3 linked regions of the Canis lupus familiaris genome follow. The protein of the gene in region 1 interacts with the protein of each later gene in a pairwise test. Links are inferred from orthologs where the notes say so. Each region holds a gene or a part of one and is shown on either strand. Other genes may lie near its edges.

Evidence for each region.
Region 2: the proteins of ABI3 (region 1) and HOMER1 interact in binary tests that used the Homo sapiens proteins (3 or more experiments, as listed by UniProt). The two-hybrid records come from large-scale screens. The link is inferred for Canis lupus familiaris from reciprocal best matches to the Homo sapiens genes ABI3 and HOMER1.
Region 3: the proteins of ABI3 (region 1) and WAS interact in binary tests that used the Homo sapiens proteins (3 or more experiments, as listed by UniProt). The two-hybrid records come from large-scale screens. The link is inferred for Canis lupus familiaris from reciprocal best matches to the Homo sapiens genes ABI3 and WAS.

The regions. Positions count from the first base shown.
Region 1 is NC_049230.1:25,333,285-25,336,940, forward strand, and holds part of ABI3 (ABI gene family member 3), read left to right. Parts: intron 1-302; coding exon 303-479; intron 480-2,047; coding exon 2,048-2,133; intron 2,134-2,267; coding exon 2,268-2,363; intron 2,364-2,531; coding exon 2,532-2,683; intron 2,684-3,191; coding exon 3,192-3,329; intron 3,330-3,656. UniProt on the Homo sapiens protein: May inhibit tumor metastasis. In vitro, reduces cell motility.
Region 2 is NC_049224.1:27,623,879-27,627,534, reverse strand, and holds part of HOMER1 (homer protein homolog 1), read right to left. Parts: intron 2,227-3,656; coding exon 2,116-2,226; intron 1,484-2,115; coding exon 1,403-1,483; intron 1-1,402. UniProt on the Homo sapiens protein: Postsynaptic density scaffolding protein. Binds and cross-links cytoplasmic regions of GRM1, GRM5, ITPR1, DNM3, RYR1, RYR2, SHANK1 and SHANK3.
Region 3 is NC_049260.1:42,092,824-42,095,335, forward strand, and holds the end of WAS (wiskott-Aldrich syndrome protein), read left to right. Parts: intron 1-198; coding exon 199-313; intron 314-1,677; coding exon 1,678-1,733; 3' UTR 1,734-1,980; downstream 1,981-2,512. UniProt on the Homo sapiens protein: Effector protein for Rho-type GTPases that regulates actin filament reorganization via its interaction with the Arp2/3 complex. Important for efficient actin polymerization. Possible regulator of lymphocyte and platelet function.

The sequences.
Region 1 (3,656 bases):
GACTCCCACTCCAAAGCCTCTATCTTCTTTGGAGTGGGAGTATTGGGGGTGCCTGGATGGCTCACTGGTTGAGTGCCTGCCTTTGGCTCTGGCAGGTCCGTTGGTTGTGATCCCAGGGTCCTGGGATGGAGTCCCGCATCTGGCTTCCTGCAGGGAGCCTGCTTCTCCCTCTGCCTGTGTCTCTGCCTTTCTCTGAGTCTCTCATGAATAAATAAAATCTAAAAAAACCCAAGCCAAAACAAAATAAGAGGTGGGGCACTGTATGGAGACTCCTCCTGTCACCTCAAACCCTGTCATGGCAGATGGTGAATATGCATATGGAGAAGGTGGCCCGAAGGGAGATTGGCACCTTAGCAACCGTCCAGCGGCTGCCCCCTGGCCAGAAAGTCATCGCCCCCGACAGCCTCCCTCCCCTCACGCCTTACTACAGGAGACCCCTCAACTTTGGCTGCCTGGATGACATTGGCCATGGGATTAAGGTAGAGAGAGGGCCCCTCCTCTTTTCCACAAACCACTCCCTCAGTTTAGTGGGTTCGCTTCTCCCCAGCCTCCTCCTCATTCTCTTCCACATCCACATTCTTGTTCCATCCAGTCTTATTCCCTGATCTTTCCTCACTGCCTGAAGCCATCACCCTTAGGGGACCCCTCCTCTCCAAGCCTCCCTCCTTAAAAGTCTTTCCTGACCCCTCCCTCCATAACTGGCCTTTACTCTGTCCTCAGATGGTTAGCTGAGGGTGCATCTGAGCACCCCCTTCCACAGGGGCTGGGTGTGTGTGTGAAGGGGAAGAGAGGAAGGGAAGGCGTCAGGGTGTACATGAGAATTGCTCCCCAGCCACATGAGAACAGTAACTTCCTCTGTCTGGAGGTTTGAGGTCAAGGCACTGAGCACTCCCCCCAGAGCTGCTTGCTGTTGGGTGGGAAGGGGTGGGGATGCAGCCACTCAAAAGGGAGGGGCCTGGTGAAGATGGGGAGCATGCCACTAGCATTTCCTTCTCCGCTCATCTCCTGAGAGGTGGGAGAGCACACATCCCTAACCCCATGTAGTCAGTTCCCACATGCCAACATCCCAAGGGAGATTAAAGCTCCCCTGGATCTCAGCGACCCCTTGAAACCCTCAACATACCATAGCATACAGACTATCCTCCCCTCCCTCAGTCACCAGGCTTCCCCACCAGTGAGTTCCCATTGCCCAGCTTCCATTCTTTTGGACTCAGCTCAGTCCCCCTTGTCTTGTGCCTAGCGGAGTATAGCAGAGGACAGCATCCCTCATGTGCCCACACTCAGGGACACCCCGCCAGGGACAGAAGCGCTCTCTCACATGTGGGCTGGCCCTTGCCACTTGTGCATTTTAAATGCTCTGTCCCTCTGTCCTGAGCTTCCCAAAGCCGGGTTCTGCAGGCCAGTCAAAATGACAGGTGGGGGGCACCTGGGTGGCTCAGTGGGTTAAGCGGCTGCCTTCCCCTGGGGTCACGATCCCAAGGTCCTGGGATCCAGCCTGGCATCCAGCTCCCTGCTCAGCGGGGAGCCTGCTTCTCCCTCTCCCTCTGCCTGCTTCTTCCCCTACTTGTGCTCTCTCTCTGCCAAATAGATGAATAAAATCATTTTTTAAAAATGGCAGGGGTATACCTCTAGGTGTGATGGTCCCCTCCCCCCCCCTTCCCGCCAACTCCTCAGCCCCGCCGGGGGTTGCCTGGGGTCTATGAGGATTAGAGCCCACCAAGCTGGCCACTGAGATGCTGTGCGCGCCTGCGAGGTGCGGATGCTAGGCTGTGCAGAGGAAGTGGCCTTCAGACCGCGTCTGCTCCAGGTTTCCGTCGGGCCCGCGGTCGACCAGAGGCCCAGGGCCCAGGCAGCAGCAAGAGGGGGTAGCTGTGTGTGGGGTGGGGTGCGATGTGGGGGGCTGGGAAGTAGAAGTGGGAACTTGGCTGTCCCCGCGCGCTCCCTCCCAGTTCGCGGCCGCCTCTCCCTCATTTCCCTTCTGGGACCAGGGGGCTACTGGGGAGGGGGAGCCCCATAGACGTCAACCCCGCCCCCTGCTCCCCCGCAGGATCTGACAACGCAGTTGTCGCGGACCGGGACTCTTTCGCGAAAGAGCATCAAGGCGCCTGCGACACCCGCCTCCGCCACCCTGGGGTGAGGCCTCGAGATCCCGAAACCCTCCTCCCCCACCCTCAGTGCAGAGGAGCCAAACTTCCTCCTCCCCGCACCTGACCCCGCTGGCCGGAAGCCTTCCTTCCCCACCCTAATCCACCCCTCCCCCACCCCAGGAGGCCGCCGCGGATCCCCGAGCCCGTGCAGCTCCCAGTGGTGCCCGAGGGCAAACTCTCCGCCGCCTCATCTGCCTCTTCCCTGGCCTCTGCAGGGTGAGCCCCACAAGTCCAAGTGGGGGTGTCACGGTGACTACTAGGGTGGAGACGACTCGCAGCACAGGCCTGGGCTGATGACTGAAGGGGCGGGGCCGGTGGGGGGGTAATGCCGAGTTAGGGAAGGGGTCCCCCAACTTAGCCGAGCCCTCTTTCTCTGGTCCTCAGCAGCGCCGAAGGTGTCGGTGGGGGCTCCACGACCAAGGGGCAGGCAGCACCCCCACCCCCACCTCTCCCCGGCATGGCCCCACCCCCGCCACCGGCCCCCGAGGTCTTCCTGCCTCCCCCTCCGCTGGAGGAAGTATCCCTGCCCCCGCCGGGTAAGGAGCTCCGCCCCCTCCTGGCTCCCCTGTGGGGTCTCTGCCTCACGTCCCCCAGGTCTCCCCGCCCATCCGATCCGCCAGCTCAGTGGACGTCCTAGGTAGGGGGTAACAGGAGAGGAAGTGCGCTAATTTAGCGCCTGCTTTACACCAGGCTCTGTGTTCAAGCTCCTCGTCTCTTTTTTCACTTAACTTAAAAACCCTAAGAGGATCTTCACACTCTGATTGCACAGATGCAAGTTGAGGCCGACAGGTTAAATTCAGTGACTTGCCTGTGGTTACCCAGCTGAGTGGCAGAGCCTGAGGACCTTACACCGCTCAACATTTGTGTGTTTACTGAGAACCTACTAGAGGCCTTGTGGTGGGAACCCTGATGGGCCCAGGCTGGAGAAAGATTACATAAATGGGTGGATGCTGGAGCCCGGATTTTGAACAGTGGAGTTTCCTGGGGGCAGTTGGAAGGGGGTTTCCTGTGCCACACCTGCAGGCTTTCTACTTTCCCTCCCAGCACCAGAGCTGCCCCCGCCCCTGGATCTGCCCCCTCCTCTACCCCTGGATGTTGATGAATTGGGGCTGCCACCACTGCCCCCACCAGACTTTGGGCCTGAAGAGCCTAGCTGGGTCCCTGCTGCATACTTGGAGAAAGGTACCTGATTCCTGGGACTAGGGATCCCCTCTCCTCTTCTTTTTTTTTTTTTTTCCCCTCTCCTCTTCTACACTAGAATCTGCAACGGTGTGAATATGAGCCCGTTATACACACACACACCCCTCCCTATTTCCTGATGAACTGACCAAACGTTCATCCAGGAGTGGTGAACCAAGATGGAAAGACAGGCAGCTGGCCTGGCACTGAATACTATTAACCCAGGTGGGGAAGCAGGGGTGGTCCCAAGAGCTTTGGGGAAGGCACCTCCTGCCCTACTCCCTGTAGCCATCCCCCTAGATGTTCCCTGGCATCCCCATGCTAGGGCAG
Region 2 (3,656 bases), on another chromosome or scaffold:
CCACTAATTTACAGAGATCATTAAAATGTGGGAACAACATTTAATAGGGCTAACCAAAACAAACCACCTTATTTTTCCCAGTCTCCTGAAAGTCAGTGATAGGAGAGAGGGAAATGTTTCATGCCACATAAAGAACCTATTTCCTTTATGAAGGGTCTCTACTGTTGCAGAATTCTGACTATCTATATAAACGGAGACTGGATAAATAACATTTACAAGCTTCAGTTTCCTCAGATGACTATTACAAGAAGTAAATGCATAATATAAGTAAAGTACTGAGCACAGTGTCTGGCATACAGTAAGCACTCAATACAAGATATTCTCATTATAATTGAGGTACTCCTTCTATCTCTGAGCTTTCAGGTCCCACTTAAAATCTCTTTTCCAAAATTCCTCACTCTGTACATATATTTATTTCTACTACCAACTTTATTTTTTTAAAAGATTTTATTCATTTATTCATGAGAGACACACACAGAGAGAGAGGCAGAGACACAGGCAGAGGGAGAAGCAGGTTCCATGCAGGGAGTGGGACCTGATCCCAGGACGCCAGGATCATGCCCTGAGCTGAAGGCAGACGCTCAACCACTGAGCCACCCAGGAGTCCCTACTCCCAACTTTAAAGTGGTCCTAACCTTTCTTTATAGAGAACTGGAGTGTAAGCCAAGTGCCTAAAGCACCAAGAGACTTTGAAAATGAATTCTAAAAATCTTCCCTAACTGCTATTACAGGATATATGTATGCAAATTAGAGTCAGGAAACATATTATTTATGTAAAAAGTGAATAAAATTAATTAGAATAAAGGAAGAAAAACGGCACTAATTTAATTTCCAATAGGGCACAACTATTTCTGCAATTCATACTAATTAGTTCAGTGTAAAAAAAAATGAGAACTCTTCAATTGAATGAGATCCATTTGAGAAATTCTCTTTAAATTCAGGGTATTTTGGGAAGCCTGGGTGGCTCAGCAGTTGGGCGTCTTCCTTTGACTTGGGGTGTGATCCCGGGGTCCCGGGATCGAGTGTCACATCGGGCTTCCTGCAGGGAGCCTGCTTCTCTCTCTGCCTATGTCTCTGCCTCTCTCTCTGTGTCTCTCATGAATAAATAAATAAAATCTTAAAAAATAATTAAAAATAAATTCAGGGTATTTTTATGTTAAAGTGTAGACATTTCTAAAATAATTTACTAAAGACAATTTATAAACGACCATCTATGATGATCAAATGCTACCTAGATGAAGTTATCATAATTTTTGAAGAATCAAAGATTAAACATAAATCAGAACTCCTGGAAAAATGACTGAGAGTCTACAAAATGAAATTTCAGAAAGTCATTACTATGTGAAAGAATGATTGATGCCACTCTATGCAGAAATGAAATAAAAATGTTTTTATAACCCACCTGTAGTTTCTGAGTCAAAGAATCCCTCTGTTCTTGTAGTTCTCTGGCATTATCAATTTCTTGTTTTAATCTTTCTATTTCCTAGAAAAAGTAGAGCAATGTCTTTAGCAACAATATTTAAACTAAATCAAGGAAAGAAAAGGTCTTATTTCTCCCTGAAATTACGGTCCAAGTTCTTAGAAAAAAATTTTTTTAAAAACATTCCTTTATGCTGATTTTTTTGAGAGGTGAATTTGTCTTTTTGGGAATGTTTTCTAGTACATGATCATCTTCAGCAATACGTCTACTTGGTGGCTGTGGTACAGCACTGCTTAGAAACCGTAATCACAACATTTTAAGGCTGCTTCAAGCTTTGTGGATATAATTCTTTCTTGGGATATTAAATCTTATGACTGGAAACCAGAGAAAGCAATAGTTTGGAAAATTCATTTAAACCTTTCACGGTTTTCTTTGGATTTTATGAATGTAACTTTCATACAGAAGGCAAGAAACCTTCAGGCTGACTGCCTCACCATAGTTCCTAACAGCAGAAACAAGGATGGAGAAGATATGGACACATATCAATCAAAAAAAATTTCATTCCCCCCACCCCCGCCACAACATCCCACAAGCTTATTTTATTCCATCAAGTACCTGTAAATCTGACAGAGATTCAAATATTTTGTACATATATGCTAGCCAGATTACACAGATGAGTGAAAAGTAGCAAATACCTCTTCCTTCACTTTCAGCGTCTCTTCCAGTTCTTGTATTGTTTGATTTAATTCTGTCTTGTGAGTATGCACTGCATTAGCTTGGCTACTAACACATTCAAGCTCAGTCACCTGAAATGAAATGTAAATACAAGTTAAATTATACGACTATGTCAAAAGATTTCTTGCCAAAAATATAATAAACCCGATAGGTAAATCATAAATTTGAAACAACACATGAAAATCAATTTTGAGGGGATCCCTGGGTGGCTCAGTGGTTTGACGCCTGCCTTTGGCCCAGGGTGCGATCCTGGAGTCCCGGGATCGAGTCCCGCGTCAGGCTCCTGGCATGGAGTCTGCTTCTCCCTCCTCCTGTGTCTCTGCCTCTCTCTCTCTCTATGTCTATCATAAATAACAAATAAATAAATATTTTTAAAAAAATCAATTTTGAGATACATTAAGACACTTAAGGTAGAATGAATAGATTCTTTAAGGACATGAATTTAGGACAAAAAAAAAAGACTAGGGGAAATAATTATTCATATGGCTTGCTCATGGAAAGAGCTAGGAAACTTAATTGATTAATGACAGTTAAGAAATCCTATTATGAAAGGCTTCTTTAAAAATTTCTTATCAAAACATATTCAAAATCAGCTATAACCATCTGCCTTCCATCTGTAGCTTTCAAGTTAAACATGGCTTCTGAAAACTGGCCTTGCAGAAGTGAGAAATTTTTTAAATATATTTCCAAATTGTAAGAGAATCTGGAAGAAAAGATACGCTTAAAATACAACTTAAATCATTCAATACTAGAATGACTTCACATCAATAGTGTCTCTGTAGCCAAAGACAACATTCTTTAGTCAATAAGAATGTACTAAGGGCCCAAAGAGCTACATAACTTGTAATGAGCACTTTAAGAGAACAGCAAAGGGCAGTAGCCCTAAAAGTTATACCATCCAAAAACACTATTGAGCCAACAGTCAAAATAGAAGTCAACATAAAAACAGACACACATACCCCATCACAGCCCTTCACATGCATTAGGATCTTATACATTTTGGCTGACTAGAATGCAGTAAGTTCTAGACCATTAGGGAAACAGTAAATCCACTTTCACATTTTCCAAATATATACTAACCCTCCATAAATGTCACTCTACCTTTCCTAACACTTTCTTCCCTTCTACTCATGCACTAATAGTCTTGTGCAGACCCTTATCATGTAGGCCTAGATTATAGCAATGGACCACCAGAGGACATAATTATATAATTTCTGTCTATTTTTACCTCTCCTGTAAACTAACATTCATCTATCGTTGTGTAACTCCTCCATTCAAAGCCATTCAAAGGATCATTTCTTACAACCCTCGGGTCTTGCATATACCAGCCCTAAACAATTTAACCATCCTCATCACCCAAGACACTCACACTATGTAAATATGTGGTTTTTCCAACTAAAGGTAGGCAAGTCTCCTCATCCTAAGAATAAACCACTCTCACACCCATCTTGCTGACTTCACTAGAATGTCCACTCTTACTGCTGAAGCCAATCAGACATTA
Region 3 (2,512 bases), on another chromosome or scaffold:
AGGGGGCCAGGGCCAAACTGATGGAGGTCCCAGGCTTTTGGGTTTCAGTGATAGGGCTGGGAGGCTGGTGGGGAGAGGCAGGCTGGGAACCTAGAAGGGGACTTGAGAATATGGGAGGGGAAATAATGAGGAAGGGGCAGGGAGGTGTGCTCCTATCATGGGCCCTGAACCCTCTATGCTGGATCCTGCTTGCTCCAGACCCCTGGGGCCCCAGAGAGCTCAGCACTGCAGCCTCCAACTCAGAGCTCAGAAGGGTTGGTGGGAGCCCTGATGCACGTGATGCAGAAGAGAAGCAGAGCCATCCACTCCTCAGGTGAGAGCCTGCCCTTTGCCAGGACAGTGAGCCCAGTTCCTAGGGCTAGTGTTGGCCTAAGAACAACTCTACCGGTTACCATTCATAGTACATTTCTTTTTTTTTTTTTTTTATTTATTTATGATAGTCACAGAGAGAGAGAGAGAGAGAGAGAGAGAGGCAGAGACACAGGCAGAGGGAGAAGCAGGCTCCATGCACCAGGAGCCCGATGTGGGATTCGATCCCGGATCTCCAGGATCGCGCCCTGGGCCAAAGGCAGGCGCCAAACCGCTGCGCCACCCAGGGATCCCCTCATAGTACATTTCTTTTAAAGATTTACTTATTTATTCATGAGAGACACAGAGAGAGGCAGAGACATAGGCAGAGGGAGAAGCCGGCTCCTCGCAGGGAGCCTGATGTGGGACTTGATCCCTGCCCTGATCAGAAGGTAAATGCTCAACCTCTGAGCCACCCAGGTGTCCTGTATCCATAGTAACATTAACCCCATCATGACTCTCACGTTTGTCTTCTTTGTGACAATATTAACACTGTCATTATGGAACAATAATAGAATTCACTCTTTGACAATAACATTAACATTAATGCCAAGGCATGGCCACAATATTAATATTAATCCTGTATGTCCAGTAGTGTATAACATTAGCCCATATGTGATGATATTATAAAGGACCCCACCATAGGCAATAATATTAACTTGAACTCTGTGTCAATAGATGAACATTAGCTTGTAATGTGATAATAATATCATAACCAACCCAATCTATCATAACATTCATCCCCTAATTGTGTCAATAATATTACTATTATATGACAATTAGATGAGGGTAATGTGAACCTCAACAGATTACTGACAGTATTAACATTAATCCCAGAGTAAGCCCACAGATTAATATGAATCCATTATATGACAATATTATAACAAACTTCCTCTTTTGACAGTGATATCAATAACCCATTATAGGTCAACAATATTAACATTAGCCTGTTATGGAACAGCACTATTGTAATGTACTCCACCTTTGCTTATAATACTTAAAATTCACCCCAGTAAATAACAAGCCTGTTAACATTAACCCTTGTGTGGCAGTAACCACATAGTTGGGCAGTAACCCACCTAACTACATTTCTGACAATGGTATTAACTTTGATTCCAACTTCAACCTACACCCTAACTCTCCCTCCTCTGGGTGGGCCCCTTGCTCATCCAACTGCACAGGCCCCCAGATCTGACTTCCTAGCAGGAGATCTCAGCCCCCTGCCCCAGACCCTGAGTCCTGACCTCTCAGACCCCAAGAACATTACATCACCCACGGCCTTTGAACCCTTCTGCCCATCCTGAGTTCCGCTTTTTCTCTCCCTCTCAGACGAAGGGGAGGACCAGGCCGGCGACGAGGATGACGACGATGAATGGGATGACTGAGTCACCTTCTGCACCTGTTCTGAGCCTCCTCCCCCGGCAGCTGCTGCTTGCTGTCCTCCACTCCTGGCCTCCAGGCCCTCAGGTCCCGTTTCTTCCCCACCAACCCTTCCAATGCAGTTATCTCTGACTGGTCCTCAAACATTCACCCTAGCAGTAGCCAGGGCCCCTTTTTATACAGAATTTCTCAGTGCTTCTCACATAATGAGTTTTAAACCAAAATAAAATAACTGTCTTTTTGTTTCTCTAATCTCAAATTGGTTTATATTCCAAATGTGGAAATTTGGGGTCCTTTTCCCCCAAAGTGTCTTTTATTCACCTATCCCATTTCATTTATTTAGCCTTACCTGTGTACATTCACTCATTTGTTCCCTCATTTATTTCTTTGTTTCCTTCTGCCTTTCTTTCCAAAAACATTTGTTGCCCAGCACTACTTTAGGGGTTGGAGCTAAACCAGTGGGAAGAAAACCTAATGAGGCCAACATTCTATTGGAGGAGACAGATACAAAACCAGGAATCAAACAGAAACAACAGATAGTTTCAGATCATGACAAGTGCTGTGATAGGCTGAGGGGGAACAGCTTCAGATGGAAAATTTAGGGAAAGCCACCCGGAGGAGGTGACAGTTGTGAAGAATCTAAAGAGAGAGGAGTCAACCAATAAACCTTTGCGGGGAGGGCATTCCAGGCAGAGGGAACAGCCCGTGCAAAGCCTTGAGGTAGGGAAAGCTTGGAGGTTGAGCATGGTGAATGATCAGGAGTTATTTATTCCTTTACTTACTT